Linked DNA regions of Saccharomyces cerevisiae S288C. The gene in region 1 interacts genetically with each later gene. Each region holds a gene or a part of one and is shown in the gene's direction. Other genes may lie near its edges.

What was found.
Region 2: mutations in IML2 (region 1) and ERG10 together harm fitness more than expected from each alone (negative genetic interaction), as found in Saccharomyces cerevisiae (2 studies listed by BioGRID).
Region 3: mutations in IML2 (region 1) and ESS1 impair growth when combined (synthetic growth defect), as found in Saccharomyces cerevisiae (2 studies listed by BioGRID, with this or other methods).
Region 4: mutations in IML2 (region 1) and DIM1 together harm fitness more than expected from each alone (negative genetic interaction), as found in Saccharomyces cerevisiae (2 studies listed by BioGRID).

What each region holds. Positions count from the first base shown.
Region 1 is NC_001142.9:279,405-284,093, forward strand, and holds IML2 (Iml2p), read left to right. Parts: upstream 1-1,780; coding exon 1,781-3,976; downstream 3,977-4,689. Other genes in the region: TAX4 (Tax4p), read left to right, coding at 1-1,251; ARP4 (Arp4p), read right to left, coding at 4,398-4,689. UniProt on the Saccharomyces cerevisiae protein: Inclusion body (IB) resident protein that interacts strongly with lipid droplet (LD) proteins.
Region 2 is NC_001148.4:496,249-499,979, forward strand, and holds ERG10 (acetyl-CoA C-acetyltransferase), read left to right. Parts: upstream 1-1,847; coding exon 1,848-3,044; downstream 3,045-3,731. Other genes in the region: ATP-dependent RNA helicase SUV3, read left to right, coding at 1-1,471; SMA1 (Sma1p), read left to right, coding at 3,417-3,731. UniProt on the Saccharomyces cerevisiae protein: Acetyl-CoA acetyltransferase; part of the first module of ergosterol biosynthesis pathway that includes the early steps of the pathway, conserved across all eukaryotes, and which results in the formation of mevalonate from acetyl-coenzyme A (acetyl-CoA).
Region 3 is NC_001142.9:465,597-468,600, reverse strand, and holds ESS1 (peptidylprolyl isomerase ESS1), read left to right. Parts: upstream 1-1,567; coding exon 1,568-2,080; downstream 2,081-3,004. Other genes in the region: REC107 (Rec107p), read left to right, coding at 1-46; TES1 (palmitoyl-CoA hydrolase), read left to right, coding at 320-1,369; dihydroxy-acid dehydratase ILV3, read left to right, coding at 2,393-3,004. UniProt on the Saccharomyces cerevisiae protein: Essential PPIase specific for phosphoserine and phosphothreonine N-terminal to the proline residue.
Region 4 is NC_001148.4:36,821-40,717, forward strand, and holds DIM1 (putative dimethyladenosine transferase), read left to right. Parts: upstream 1-2,300; coding exon 2,301-3,257; downstream 3,258-3,897. Other genes in the region: PLC1 (phosphatidylinositol phospholipase C), read left to right, coding at 1-1,025; ACM1 (Acm1p), read left to right, coding at 1,349-1,978. UniProt on the Saccharomyces cerevisiae protein: Specifically dimethylates two adjacent adenosines in the loop of a conserved hairpin near the 3'-end of 18S rRNA in the 40S particle.

The sequences.
Region 1 (4,689 bases):
GTATCCTACTCTACCTCGCTGTCATCATCGTGTTCCATAAGTTCCGATGGAGAAGAAACTTCTTATAGAGAAAAAAGCACCGATGAGGCATTTCCTCCTGAACCTTCCATGTCTTCTTATAGTCTTGCGTCCAAAGCCTCAGCAAAGGCTTCTCTAACGGACCCCTCACAGCGGCAGCAAGAGTCAGACTATACGGCAATGAATAAACTCAATGGAGGAAATATAATATATAAAGGCACTTTACCCGACCTAATACCGCGAAGCCAAAGGAAGACAAGTAAACCCAGGTTCAAGCACAGGCTTTTACGATCACCTGAGCAGCAGCAAGAAAACTTATCACGTGTGTATTCGGACCAAACGCAGAATGGTAGGGCAATCATAAACACGCAGCAAAATGTAAAGTTAAAGACAACTATGAGGCGCGGGAAGTACGCAATTACAGACAATGATGAAACTTTTCCCTACGACAGAAAGTCTGTATCATCAGACTCAGACACAGATGAAGATTCTAATGTGATGGAAATCAAGGACAAGAAGAAGAAAAGTCGTCGCTCTAAGATAAAGAAGGGGTTGAAAACAACAGCAGCTGTAGTTGGGAGTAGTACCTCTGTCCTTCCGTTCCCTCATCACCATCATCATCACCATCAGCTCCATAACCCGAATTCTCATCACTTACACACGCACCATCATACAAGTTCTCACAAATTCAATGAAGATAAACCGTGGAAATCTCATAGAGATCTCGGGTTTATTACCGAACAAGAAAGAAAAAGATACGAGTCTATGTGGGTATCAAACAGATACTCGTATTTGCGCTTGCTGCCGTGGTGGCCCTCTCTCGCGAATGAAGACGACGAGTCTCACTTACAGCCCTTAAATTTACCGCAAGACGGCCTGATGCTTAACTTAGTCGTAAAAGATATATGGTATCGATCAAACCTACCCAGGGATCTTCTAGTGCAAATATACAATATGGTCGACACAAGAAAAGACGGTACCTTAGACAGAAAATCGTTTATAGTGGGCATGTGGCTGGTTGATCAATGTCTCTATGGCCGAAAGCTAACGAATGAGCTGGACCAGAGAGTTTGGAATAGCGTTGACGGCTATGTTCTCGGTACAATTAACGTGAAGCCTGCCACTTCCGATCACTATCACAACGCTAATAACCCTCTAGATAAGCCATCAAAGCTTTCAGTCCGACAGGAATTGAAAAACATCAAACGCGATCTCAGAAATGTCAGAATATGATGCCTGGCATTATTTGCAGAAGTTCTCTTCCTGTGTTAATAATGAATGACGATGAGTTAACAATGACCCTTATGTATACAACGAAAGGACGAATGAAAGAAATGAAAATATTATCTTTTTTTTTTTTTTTCTCAATTTTCCTTCACTTTTAGAAGTTTTTCCGTTCCGCGGATTTTGTTCGTCGGACCTTTTGCTTTATTTGTCTCCAGATCTCTCGAGCATAATGGTCGTTTTTCATTTCATGCTTATAGTCTTTGTCTTTCCAGCGGTACCCCCACCCCCTATCTTGGGCTATTTTCTAATTTCGTCCCTCGGATTATTTAATTCATATTCTCCCCACCTTTGTATTACTAAATTTATTTTCCAATGCTCTTTTCACTCATTCTTCCTTTTGCATATTTCTATCAGTATATATAGCGAATTGTATATATAAGCGTCTTGTTACCGGTATAGGAATTACCTGATAGAAAGAAATAGAACATAATAGGAGGAAGGGCAAACAGTGCGCCAAAACGAAAGATAGTAGAAGATGTTTAGAGTATTTGGTTCATTTGGATCAAAGGGTAATCAATCTTCTGGTGAAGAGCAATCAACAAAGACAAAACAGGTTCTGAAGCAGGCTAATGACTTTGAGATCGCCTTAAAGGCAATGGATTTTGTCCTTGATGATAGAACGGATGAAGGGTTGAATTTGCTGAAAAAAGCTGAAATGGAAACTGGTTCAGATCAAACTATCTTGACTTTGGCAAGAGGTGTTATTGAATTTCTTCAAGCCACTTTGAGTTTTGAAACTGAAGAAATGAAAAGAGCTGCAATTACTTTAGGCAAAGCTGAGCAAATGTCCTGGAAAAGTAAGCAAAATGCTGAAAAGACCAATTTTAGGAGCAGTTCAATATATCCTCCCGGTACTGTCTATGCTGTAACATATACTGAGTCATGTCTGTTGCATGCCTTGTTGATGTTATTTAGTGAAAGCATGATGGAAGCAGCCAAGGCTTTGCTAAAGTTAAGGAGGGCTTATACAATGTTACAAGATATCATGGTTACTGTCAAAAAAGCTGAACGATCGAAAAATTCGAGCTCTCCCTCTCCAAGCGAAAAGAGCCAAGAGTCATGCGGAAGTTTTGTTTCTGCAGAGACAACTTTCATATCGGTTGATATACCATACAAATTGTCTTCCGAGGACAAGTCCAATCCACTCCTATTGGAATTTGCTGAAAAAATCTACACGATGAGAATGGGAAGGTTATCAGGTGCCCATATTGGCAATACTCCATCTTTTCATAGGTTAAGGGATGATTTGGGTTTACAGACGACTCCGTCTCAAGCTTCCGACCGCCATTCTGTTTCAGATGATTTCGATTTAGAACAGGCTACCATCGACGAATTCATCCATTCAGGTGCTAATTTATGCTATGGTATCTTGCAAGTCGTCTTATCCTTACTTCCACCTGCAATCGGTGCTGTGCTATCTATTGTTGGATTCAAGGGATCCCGTGAAGAAGGTTTGAGGCTAGTTTGGAAGGCTACAAAGGAGAGAAATGTTCACGGGTGTATAGGTTTGTTAGGTCTGATGTTTTATTACGACGGTCCTTTCCAATTTACAGATGCTGACTTTGATATACCACCAAACGATAATGGATCGAGGGCTTTAAACAAAAGCAGAACAAACGATAGTAGCCTTTTACCAGGTTATATGGACAGTGCAACCTTATTGCATCCTGGAAAAATTCTGGAGGACGCATTACTAAAAGCAAGAGCACTTTTTCCTAATAGTGCCCTGTGGCTGCTAAATGAGGCCAAAATGCTTGCTGGAAAGGGCAGGCTTCGTGATTCTCTGGCCCTAATGGACTCTATTGATGTCAATAGTATCCGTATGAGACAAGTGAAATCGTTGATGGTGTTTGAACGTGCGATCCTTTTAGTCAACTTACACGAATACAACAGAGCTGCCGATGATTTAATAAGTTTGCTTGATATTAGTGATTGGTCTCACGCATTGTACACTTATTTTGCGGGTTGCTGTTACTTGGAAAATTGGAGGATGACACAATTAGGCTTATTAAATGACGGTAAAGAACAATTCTATAAAGAGCGGGCTCGAGAACTCATATTTGACGCTCCATCTTTGTTAGGTAAGAAAACGTTCAAATCCAAAAATCTTCCATTGGATAGATTCATGCTTAGAAAAGTTCAACAATTTAATAATATGCAGAAGAAATTAAACCTACAAGAACCACTAGACTCAATAGCAACATCACCTGTCCATGAACTGGCTTATTTCTACAACGGTTACAACAGGATGACTGAAAACGATTTAATTTTGACCAAAAAGATGTTGACAGAGTATCACAACCCCGCCATTGATTCGGAAGACCCAGATCAAGAGCTGATCAGAAACTTACTACTATCCTTGACCTTAAGAAGATTGGGGGATGCTGAAAGAGGTTTAGCCTTGTTAGATGACATTGTTCTGCCAAAAATATTCTACATTCAAAATGGCAAAGTCAAATATTTCAAAAAAACCGAAGACCCATGGGCATATCCAGCCGCTCTTTATGAGAGAGCTTTATTCTGTTGGAAACTGGGTGGCATGGAAAGTTTGAATGAATGTAGGGAATGGCTGCTAAGAGCCCAAAATTATGCCGCCGATTACGAATTGAGTACGCGTATCGGTATGAAGATCAAAGCCGCCCTTGATAGAGTTGAAAACGCGCTTGCTTAACCTTTTGCTTCTTCCGCCCCAACATTTTAGAAGTATGCATTTTTTTTTTTCTTTCGACTACTTACCTTCCCTTGCTAGCAGTTATTACAACCATCATTTTTTCGTGACGTTTCATAGTTTTTTTATATTTTTACGCAATGGGTTTCCCGAGTAGTTAGTTCTACGGTGTCGATATATATAGTGTTATGATTTTAAAAATGAACATATTTAAATTTTTGAACCTCCTTCTTAGTTATAGGCCAAGTTCATTACTCCCTAGGAAACAAAACCGGTCCATCGTAGAAATTTTTTTTATTTTACAAAAGGGTTATAGTAGAATCAAGACAATTTATTTATCACTGAGATATTGATCGAGTAGATGAATGGTCGCTCAAACTGCTAAACTGAAAGGCGACTTGTCATTCAACAACGTTTTCTATTCCTATCTAAACCTATCGTTAAGCAATCTTTCGACGCCCACCTCTTCGTATTCCTTTTTCCCAACCCACAGTTGGTGAAATGTTCCCAGACTTGTAAGTATACTACCGCCAAGCCATGACTGGTATTGCCTTTCGATAGTGTGCCCTGTTGTTAATATTCTAAATTTAAGGGATGGTAGTATTTTGTTTAGTTCTGTCATTAACCTATCACTTAATCCAGGAATAGAGGATGTACCGCCTGTAAGGACAACATTATGAGCTAGTGTCGCTCTTAGATCCACATCACTGCTCATT
Region 2 (3,731 bases), on another chromosome or scaffold:
AGCGTTACAGAAATTGAAATCCGTGGACCGTGGGTACTACGCAGGGCCGTTAAGACTGCTAGCAAGGGAAGTGTACGATAGATTTCATGCAGAAAAGATAAGATGCAATTTACTGACTGGAGAGGAAGTTATTCGTGATTTGGATGATAGAGGAAATTCAGCAGGGCTGACATCAGGCACAGTAGAAATGGTGCCAATAAATCAAAAATTTGACGTTGTTGTTCTTGATGAAATTCAAATGATGTCTGATGGGGATCGTGGCTGGGCTTGGACGAACGCGCTTTTAGGTGTCGTTTCCAAGGAGGTCCATCTTTGTGGTGAAAAGAGTGTTCTACCTTTGGTTAAGAGCATTGTTAAAATGACTGGCGATAAATTAACGATTAATGAATATGAGAGGTTAGGAAAGTTAAGTGTTGAAGAAAAACCTATCAAAGATGGCATCAAAGGTTTGCGCAAAGGAGATTGCGTCGTTGCGTTTTCAAAGAAGAAAATATTGGATCTCAAGCTAAAGATAGAGAAAGACACCAATTTGAAAGTTGCTGTAATTTATGGCTCTTTGCCGCCTGAAACACGTGTTCAACAAGCCGCCCTATTCAACAATGGAGAGTATGACATAATGGTAGCATCAGACGCTATTGGTATGGGTTTAAACCTGTCTATTGACAGAGTTGTATTCACGACAAATATGAAATATAATGGTGAAGAACTAATGGAAATGACTTCTTCTCAAATCAAACAAATAGGTGGTCGTGCGGGAAGGTTCAAATCTAGATCTGCCTCCGGGGGTGTTCCTCAGGGTTTTATCACCAGTTTCGAATCAAAAGTTTTGAAAAGTGTAAGAAAAGCTATTGAAGCACCTGTGGAGTATTTAAAAACTGCGGTTACATGGCCTACAGATGAAATATGTGCTCAACTAATGACACAATTCCCACCAGGAACGCCGACCAGTGTCCTGCTGCAGACTATTTCAGATGAGCTAGAGAAAAGTTCTGACAACCTGTTCACGTTATCTGATTTAAAGAGCAAACTGAAAGTTATTGGCTTATTCGAGCACATGGAAGATATCCCATTTTTCGACAAGCTGAAACTAAGCAATGCGCCCGTGAAGGACATGCCTATGGTCACAAAGGCGTTCACCAAATTTTGCGAAACAATAGCAAAAAGGCATACAAGAGGCCTACTGTCATACCGATTACCTTTTAACCTACTGGACTACAATTGCATACCGAATGAGAGTTATTCATTAGAGGTTTATGAGTCATTGTACAACATCATTACTCTATACTTCTGGCTCAGCAACAGGTACCCAAACTACTTCATTGACATGGAATCTGCTAAAGATTTGAAGTATTTCTGTGAGATGATTATTTTCGAGAAACTTGATCGATTAAAGAAGAATCCTTACGCACATAAGCCCTTTGGTTCTACAAGAGGTCACCTCTCATCTTCGAGAAGAAGATTGCGTACATAATCTACGATATATCCTGTAAATAGAAACAGCTACACTGCTTGAAAGCCTTAACATGATACATTTCTGGTATGATGCCATTGTTGTGCCCTGCCGGGTTTATCGTTTCCTAACAGGCACGTCACTTATAACGAGGTGCCTGTCGTTTACCGCCCAAGCCGGTTTTTTCGCTGGAGAGTACGGTACTACTAGCCCACCACACGTTCGTGGCCAGGTTGATAGGCCACCGTTGAGCAAAGGGCAGTAAAATATATAAAAGAGGAACAAGCGCTTCCATTAAGAGCACTGCTAAGCCTACTCGTTTTCTAGTTCTCTGAAAAAAGGTAGCCTAAAACAAGCGCCATATCATATATATTTATACAGATTAGACGTACTCAAAATGTCTCAGAACGTTTACATTGTATCGACTGCCAGAACCCCAATTGGTTCATTCCAGGGTTCTCTATCCTCCAAGACAGCAGTGGAATTGGGTGCTGTTGCTTTAAAAGGCGCCTTGGCTAAGGTTCCAGAATTGGATGCATCCAAGGATTTTGACGAAATTATTTTTGGTAACGTTCTTTCTGCCAATTTGGGCCAAGCTCCGGCCAGACAAGTTGCTTTGGCTGCCGGTTTGAGTAATCATATCGTTGCAAGCACAGTTAACAAGGTCTGTGCATCCGCTATGAAGGCAATCATTTTGGGTGCTCAATCCATCAAATGTGGTAATGCTGATGTTGTCGTAGCTGGTGGTTGTGAATCTATGACTAACGCACCATACTACATGCCAGCAGCCCGTGCGGGTGCCAAATTTGGCCAAACTGTTCTTGTTGATGGTGTCGAAAGAGATGGGTTGAACGATGCGTACGATGGTCTAGCCATGGGTGTACACGCAGAAAAGTGTGCCCGTGATTGGGATATTACTAGAGAACAACAAGACAATTTTGCCATCGAATCCTACCAAAAATCTCAAAAATCTCAAAAGGAAGGTAAATTCGACAATGAAATTGTACCTGTTACCATTAAGGGATTTAGAGGTAAGCCTGATACTCAAGTCACGAAGGACGAGGAACCTGCTAGATTACACGTTGAAAAATTGAGATCTGCAAGGACTGTTTTCCAAAAAGAAAACGGTACTGTTACTGCCGCTAACGCTTCTCCAATCAACGATGGTGCTGCAGCCGTCATCTTGGTTTCCGAAAAAGTTTTGAAGGAAAAGAATTTGAAGCCTTTGGCTATTATCAAAGGTTGGGGTGAGGCCGCTCATCAACCAGCTGATTTTACATGGGCTCCATCTCTTGCAGTTCCAAAGGCTTTGAAACATGCTGGCATCGAAGACATCAATTCTGTTGATTACTTTGAATTCAATGAAGCCTTTTCGGTTGTCGGTTTGGTGAACACTAAGATTTTGAAGCTAGACCCATCTAAGGTTAATGTATATGGTGGTGCTGTTGCTCTAGGTCACCCATTGGGTTGTTCTGGTGCTAGAGTGGTTGTTACACTGCTATCCATCTTACAGCAAGAAGGAGGTAAGATCGGTGTTGCCGCCATTTGTAATGGTGGTGGTGGTGCTTCCTCTATTGTCATTGAAAAGATATGATTACGTTCTGCGATTTTCTCATGATCTTTTTCATAAAATACATAAATATATAAATGGCTTTATGTATAACAGGCATAATTTAAAGTTTTATTTGCGATTCATCGTTTTTCAGGTACTCAAACGCTGAGGTGTGCCTTTTGACTTACTTTTCCGCCTTGGCAAGCTGGCCGGGTGATACTTGCACAAGTTCCACTAATTACTGACATTTGTGGTATTAACTCGTTTGACTGCTCTACAATTGTAGGATGTTAATCAATGTCTTGGCTGCCTTCATTCTCTTCAGGCTCTATTAATTTTAACCGTTATAAGTTCCTTTTCTCCCTTGGAAGCAAACATCAACTGCCTTAAAATCTGGTGGCGAGGAAAGAGGAAATGGCATGTACTAATGATGGTCCTAATAAATATCCCGAAATTGTGAGTGTTAAGCACCTGTTCCAACATTCGGGATCCAAGCATGAATTTAGTGCTGGTAAACGATTTTCAAAATCCATTGGTAAAATATTCAAACGAAACTCTGCTTTGAAAACTTCTAGAACTGAAACGGCAAATCATAAAATGGAATTGAAAAAAAGAGAGGGTGTTACCTTATTGCCACCTGTCCCAGAATCATTATTACATAAACTCAATTCTTGGTTGGAAACTTTTTCTTCCACCAAGAACATGAAAATCGAAGAAAACAAAATTGTT
Region 3 (3,004 bases), 190 kb from region 1:
TCCCTGGGAGGAACTAAGACCCGACACTCTGGAATCTGAGCTGTGAAACGGGCGTCCTGCTTTTTCATTCTACACAGGCATATGTAACAGCAGTGTATAGGCTATGTAAATCGGCCCAATCAACAAACAAGCGTTGCTTATTGGACTTGCTACTACCCCAACAAAGGAGAGAGCCTTTGATTGCATCCTCGGAAGAGACGGCATAAACACCGAGCCTCATCCTACAATGAAAAACCACGCCAGTTGGATATAAACCAGAAAAGGGTTTCAATTCAGTATCCACCATGAGCAAGACAAGATAAGACAAGATTGCATAAAAATGAGTGCTTCCAAAATGGCCATGTCCAACCTAGAGAAAATATTGGAACTGGTTCCTCTTTCGCCTACCAGTTTTGTCACAAAGTATCTGCCTGCCGCGCCCGTAGGGTCTAAGGGCACTTTTGGTGGAACGCTGGTATCACAATCGCTGCTGGCGTCATTGCATACTGTGCCATTGAACTTCTTCCCCACATCGCTACATTCGTATTTCATCAAGGGTGGTGATCCGCGGACCAAGATCACGTACCATGTGCAGAATCTGAGAAACGGTAGAAATTTCATCCATAAGCAGGTTAGTGCTTATCAGCACGACAAGTTGATATTTACGTCGATGATCTTATTTGCCGTGCAACGGTCCAAGGAGCACGACTCCTTGCAGCACTGGGAGACGATTCCAGGCCTGCAAGGTAAGCAGCCAGACCCTCATCGTTATGAAGAGGCCACTTCGCTTTTCCAGAAAGAAGTTCTGGACCCACAGAAATTGAGCAGGTATGCCTCATTGTCCGACAGGTTCCAAGACGCAACCTCGATGAGCAAGTATGTGGATGCGTTTCAATACGGAGTCATGGAGTACCAATTCCCCAAGGACATGTTCTACTCGGCAAGACACACCGACGAGCTGGATTATTTCGTCAAAGTGAGACCTCCCATCACTACCGTGGAGCACGCGGGCGACGAGTCTTCTTTACACAAGCATCATCCGTACAGGATCCCGAAGAGCATTACTCCTGAGAACGACGCTCGCTACAACTACGTGGCCTTTGCGTATCTGTCCGATTCCTACCTCCTACTCACGATCCCGTACTTCCACAACCTGCCTTTGTACTGCCACAGTTTCAGTGTCTCGCTCGACCACACGATTTACTTTCACCAGTTGCCTCATGTGAACAATTGGATCTATCTTAAGATTTCGAATCCCAGGTCCCACTGGGACAAGCACCTCGTACAGGGCAAGTATTTCGACACACAGTCGGGACGCATCATGGCAAGCGTCTCTCAGGAGGGCTACGTTGTCTACGGGTCAGAACGAGACATTCGAGCCAAGTTCTGAGGACAATTCCCTCCCACGTATAAACACATACATATATATTCTTATATTATATAATAATATCCTATTTATTATTACATCACCTTTCACGAGCGGGTATCATACCTTTTTCCCTTCGATCTAAGTAGAAAAAGGACCTGAATGATCATTGTGGTACTTATTCCCACGCATAACCGACTACGGCACCACAACGACGCACCAATGCCATCTGACGTAGCATCGAGGACCGGGCTGCCAACCCCGTGGACCGTCAGGTATAGTAAGTCCAAGAAAAGAGAGTATTTTTTCAATCCAGAGACGAAGCACTCGCAATGGGAGGAGCCTGAGGGCACCAACAAGGACCAGCTACACAAGCACTTAAGAGACCATCCAGTGCGTGTAAGATGCCTGCACATTCTCATCAAGCACAAGGATTCAAGAAGACCCGCATCGCATAGATCCGAGAACATTACGATATCCAAGCAAGACGCTACGGACGAACTGAAAACCTTAATCACGAGGTTGGATGACGACTCTAAGACGAACTCCTTCGAGGCCCTGGCTAAAGAGAGATCAGATTGCTCTTCATACAAGCGAGGCGGCGACCTCGGCTGGTTCGGGAGAGGCGAGATGCAGCCTAGCTTTGAAGACGCTGCCTTCCAGCTCAAGGTCGGCGAGGTAAGCGATATCGTTGAATCAGGAAGCGGTGTTCATGTGATCAAGCGGGTAGGTTAGGTTGGCATTTGCTTCTCCACCTCACCTTTTTATGTTCTTATTCCCTCTTGTATCCATTCCGTCCTCGCTGAACCCATGAAAAGAAAAAAAATTAACTAGTCACATAGTTAAATGGCGCTGTTCTTCGCTGCGAGCGGAACCGGGCCTGAAAAAAAATTTTCTCTTTTCCTCTCCAGATGACTCAGTAATATAGTAGTATATTATATAATGTAACAAAAGAAGAGACTGAAGTTTTATTATGCATTGTAGCGCCTGTAATCTTTAGTAACGGATTCTTGTATTTTTTTGTAAACAGCCAAGAAAAAAGTAGAGATGGGCTTGTTAACGAAAGTTGCTACATCTAGACAATTCTCTACAACGAGATGCGTTGCAAAGAAGCTCAACAAGTACTCGTATATCATCACTGAACCTAAGGGCCAAGGTGCGTCCCAGGCCATGCTTTATGCCACCGGTTTCAAGAAGGAAGATTTCAAGAAGCCTCAAGTCGGGGTTGGTTCCTGTTGGTGGTCCGGTAACCCATGTAACATGCATCTATTGGACTTGAATAACAGATGTTCTCAATCCATTGAAAAAGCGGGTTTGAAAGCTATGCAGTTCAACACCATCGGTGTTTCAGACGGTATCTCTATGGGTACTAAAGGTATGAGATACTCGTTACAAAGTAGAGAAATCATTGCAGACTCCTTTGAAACCATCATGATGGCACAACACTACGATGCTAACATCGCCATCCCATCATGTGACAAAAACATGCCCGGTGTCATGATGGCCATGGGTAGACATAACAGACCTTCCATCATGGTATATGGTGGTACTATCTTGCCCGGTCATCCAACATGTGGTTCTTCGAAGATCTCTAAAAACATCGATATCGTCTCTGCGTTCCAATCCTACGGTGAATATATTTCCAAGCAATTCACTGAA
Region 4 (3,897 bases), on another chromosome or scaffold:
TTAGCGTTAATGAGCCATTTCCATCTTCTTTTAGTTCTTCTTACGAATCAGCTAATGAACAGGAATTAAGAATGAAAGATGACTCCACGAACAGTAGTAGCGCAACAAATTCTTCTAGTATGCAACGCATCAAAAGAATTGGATTAAAAAAGCACGCTGATATAATTAATGATGTTTCTAACATTTCTGGAATACATGGCATCAAGTTCAGGAATTTCTCTTTACCAGAGTCCAAAACGATAGCGCATTGTTTTTCACTGAATGAGCGCAAAGTAGAATACATGATAAAAGACAAACACTTAAAATTATCGTTGGATAAACATAATAGAAGATATTTGATGAGAGTCTATCCTCACGTTTTACGATACAAATCATCAAATTTTAACCCAATACCTTTTTGGAAGGCCGGTGTACAAATGGTGGCTACGAATTGGCAAACTAATGATATTGGACAGCAACTTAATCTGGCAATGTTTCAAATATTAGATCACCAACCTGATGGAAGTTTTAAATCAGGATACGTGCTAAAACCAAAAAAGTTGCTACCTGTAGTAACAAAGGCGAAAATGATTCCATTAATTTACGAACATTTTGAAAATGGTAGTGATCCTGTTACTGTTAAAATTCGAATTTTATCTACACAGTTATTGCCCAGATTGAATGATACATCGCCAAGCAGAAATAACACCAATTCCTTTGTTAAAGTGGAGTTTCATACCGATGACGAGCCGACAATGCCCATCTCAATCGATAAGGGTACAAGGATTTCTGCCACTGAAGCATCCACTAAGAGTTCTCAAGGGAATGGATTCAACCCAATATGGGATGCTGAAGTTTCTATCACATTGAAAGATACAGACCTCACATTTATAAAATTCATGGTTATCTCTGAAGAGACCCAGATTGCATCTGTTTGCCTTAAGCTGAACTATTTGAGGATGGGATATCGTCACATTCCGTTGTTTAACATGGAGGGGGAACAATACATATTTTGCACTTTATTTATTCATACACAAATTTTATAGGCGATCTTTTTCCGGCCAAATACACATATTCATAAATACGTACATATACCTACTTGCATATACCAACATGATTACCTAGAATGGATATATCAAATGGGACGACGAAGTACCACGACAATACACAATAACAACTTCTGTTTTTCGCTGATTGCCTTCTCTTCAGCAGAAAGTTGATGCATATTTCGCGTAGCGCGTTGACGCGTCTTCTTTCTGAAGTTTTGTGCTTTTGTTATCATACTATATAAAGTAAAAAGAAAGGAGAACATATTAAGCATTACTGAATTAGGATCCTTTGGAAGAAATAAAGTAAGAGACACTGAAAGATGATATCACCATCAAAAAAGAGAACCATTTTATCAAGCAAGAATATAAACCAAAAACCACGAGCAGTGGTAAAAGGCAATGAACTTCGTTCACCATCAAAGAGAAGGTCACAAATAGACACAGACTATGCACTAAGGCGAAGTCCAATAAAGACAATCCAAATTTCTAAAGCTGCACAATTTATGCTGTATGAGGAAACGGCTGAAGAAAGAAACATAGCTGTCCACAGACATAATGAAATATACAATAATAACAATTCTGTGAGCAATGAGAATAATCCTTCCCAAGTAAAAGAAAACCTTTCACCCGCTAAAATTTGCCCTTATGAAAGAGCATTTTTAAGGGAAGGAGGAAGAATTGCATTGAAGGACTTAAGTGTTGACGAATTCAAAGGTTACATACAGGATCCTCTCACCGATGAGACTATACCACTGACGTTGCCACTGGGTGATAAAAAAATCAGCCTACCCAGTTTTATAACGCCGCCAAGAAATTCGAAGATATCTATTTTCTTCACTAGTAAACACCAAGGACAGAACCCAGAGACAAAGATATCCCGTTCTACCGATGACGTCAGTGAAAAAAAAGTAGTGAGAAAACTGTCCTTCCACGTCTATGAAGATGAGTAAATAATGTACACAGTTAGCGTCTAATAATTAATTAACGATACCAATTTAATTCATTCACGTATTCCTCACCTCGTGTGTAAATTACTAACAGAGTAGTAATAATAATAAGAATCAATAATAATAATAAATCCATCCTTGTGTATTACCCGGGTTAGAGGGTAGAAAAATTTTTGAAAATCGCGATGAGCTGAAAATTGAAAATATTTGGTTATAACATAAGATCGATAAATTAGGAACAGTGCATTATACAGTGGACTCATTCGGTTAGAAGCTTTAGACGTCGTACCTTTTATATCGATACAAATAAAAATAAAATTATACCATGGGAAAGGCTGCGAAAAAGAAGTACTCCGGAGCAACTTCGTCCAAACAAGTCTCTGCCGAGAAACATTTGAGTTCAGTATTTAAATTCAACACAGATCTAGGTCAGCATATTTTGAAAAATCCTTTGGTGGCGCAAGGTATTGTTGATAAGGCACAGATTAGACCCTCAGATGTTGTTTTGGAGGTTGGTCCTGGTACAGGTAACCTAACTGTAAGGATCCTCGAACAAGCAAAAAACGTAGTGGCAGTAGAAATGGATCCCAGAATGGCTGCAGAATTAACTAAGAGGGTACGTGGCACACCTGTGGAGAAAAAGTTAGAAATCATGCTTGGAGATTTTATGAAGACTGAATTACCATACTTTGATATCTGTATTAGTAACACTCCTTACCAGATCTCATCGCCTCTGGTTTTCAAATTAATTAACCAACCAAGACCACCAAGAGTATCTATTCTTATGTTTCAAAGAGAGTTTGCTTTAAGATTACTGGCAAGACCAGGTGACTCATTATACTGTAGATTATCCGCCAATGTACAAATGTGGGCTAATGTTACACACATCATGAAAGTGGGTAAGAATAACTTCAGACCGCCACCACAAGTGGAATCCAGCGTTGTTAGACTAGAGATTAAAAATCCAAGACCGCAAGTGGATTACAACGAATGGGATGGTTTGTTGAGAATCGTCTTTGTGAGGAAAAACAGAACGATTTCAGCTGGCTTCAAATCGACCACCGTGATGGACATTCTGGAGAAGAATTATAAGACATTTTTGGCGATGAACAACGAAATGGTGGATGATACAAAGGGTTCTATGCACGATGTCGTCAAGGAAAAGATTGACACAGTTCTGAAGGAGACCGACTTAGGCGACAAAAGAGCGGGTAAATGTGATCAAAATGATTTCCTAAGGCTATTATATGCTTTTCACCAGGTTGGTATCCATTTTTCATGAGCTCTCTTATCAATTATGTAAGTGCTTGTATACTATTTACCTAAGATAAGAAAAAAAAAAGCAATTCAAAATTAAGCTTATCTTGACAGCGGGGCTGGTTTGTTTCTAGAAGACAAAAAGTGGGGAATCATTTTTACGTAACTCCCCCTGATAAGAAGGACTCACATCCTTATAGGTACGATAAAGAATGGTTGTATCTTTCCTATTTTTCGAAATCGTTATCTTATATAGTTGAACTACTACGGTTAAAAAGCTTAAGCCTCAGCCCTCTTAGTCAAACTTCTTTTTTGAAGGCACCAGGGTGCATAAAAGTGCGTCTATTGTTTCCCAGTGGAACTCTGTTGAGATAGCGATGTTTGTTTTTTTTTCACTTAACGGCAACCAATACCGATAGCGACGTCGCTGGCAGTGTAGAGTGGCCGTACGGCGTCGCTAGATGGCACGGCACTGATTGCGGCGGGAGTCGCTAGGCGGTGATGCATTTCCGCACAGGGACCAGAGGAAGCTTCCCAGGCGGTGACAGTAAGTGAACTCATTATCATGTCTTCTCCAAAACATTCGTGACATCTAGTCATGCTCCTCGCAATTCACTCCGATTGGTATAGCTTTTTCGGTAGTTTTAGCTACTATGCTTAGGGGA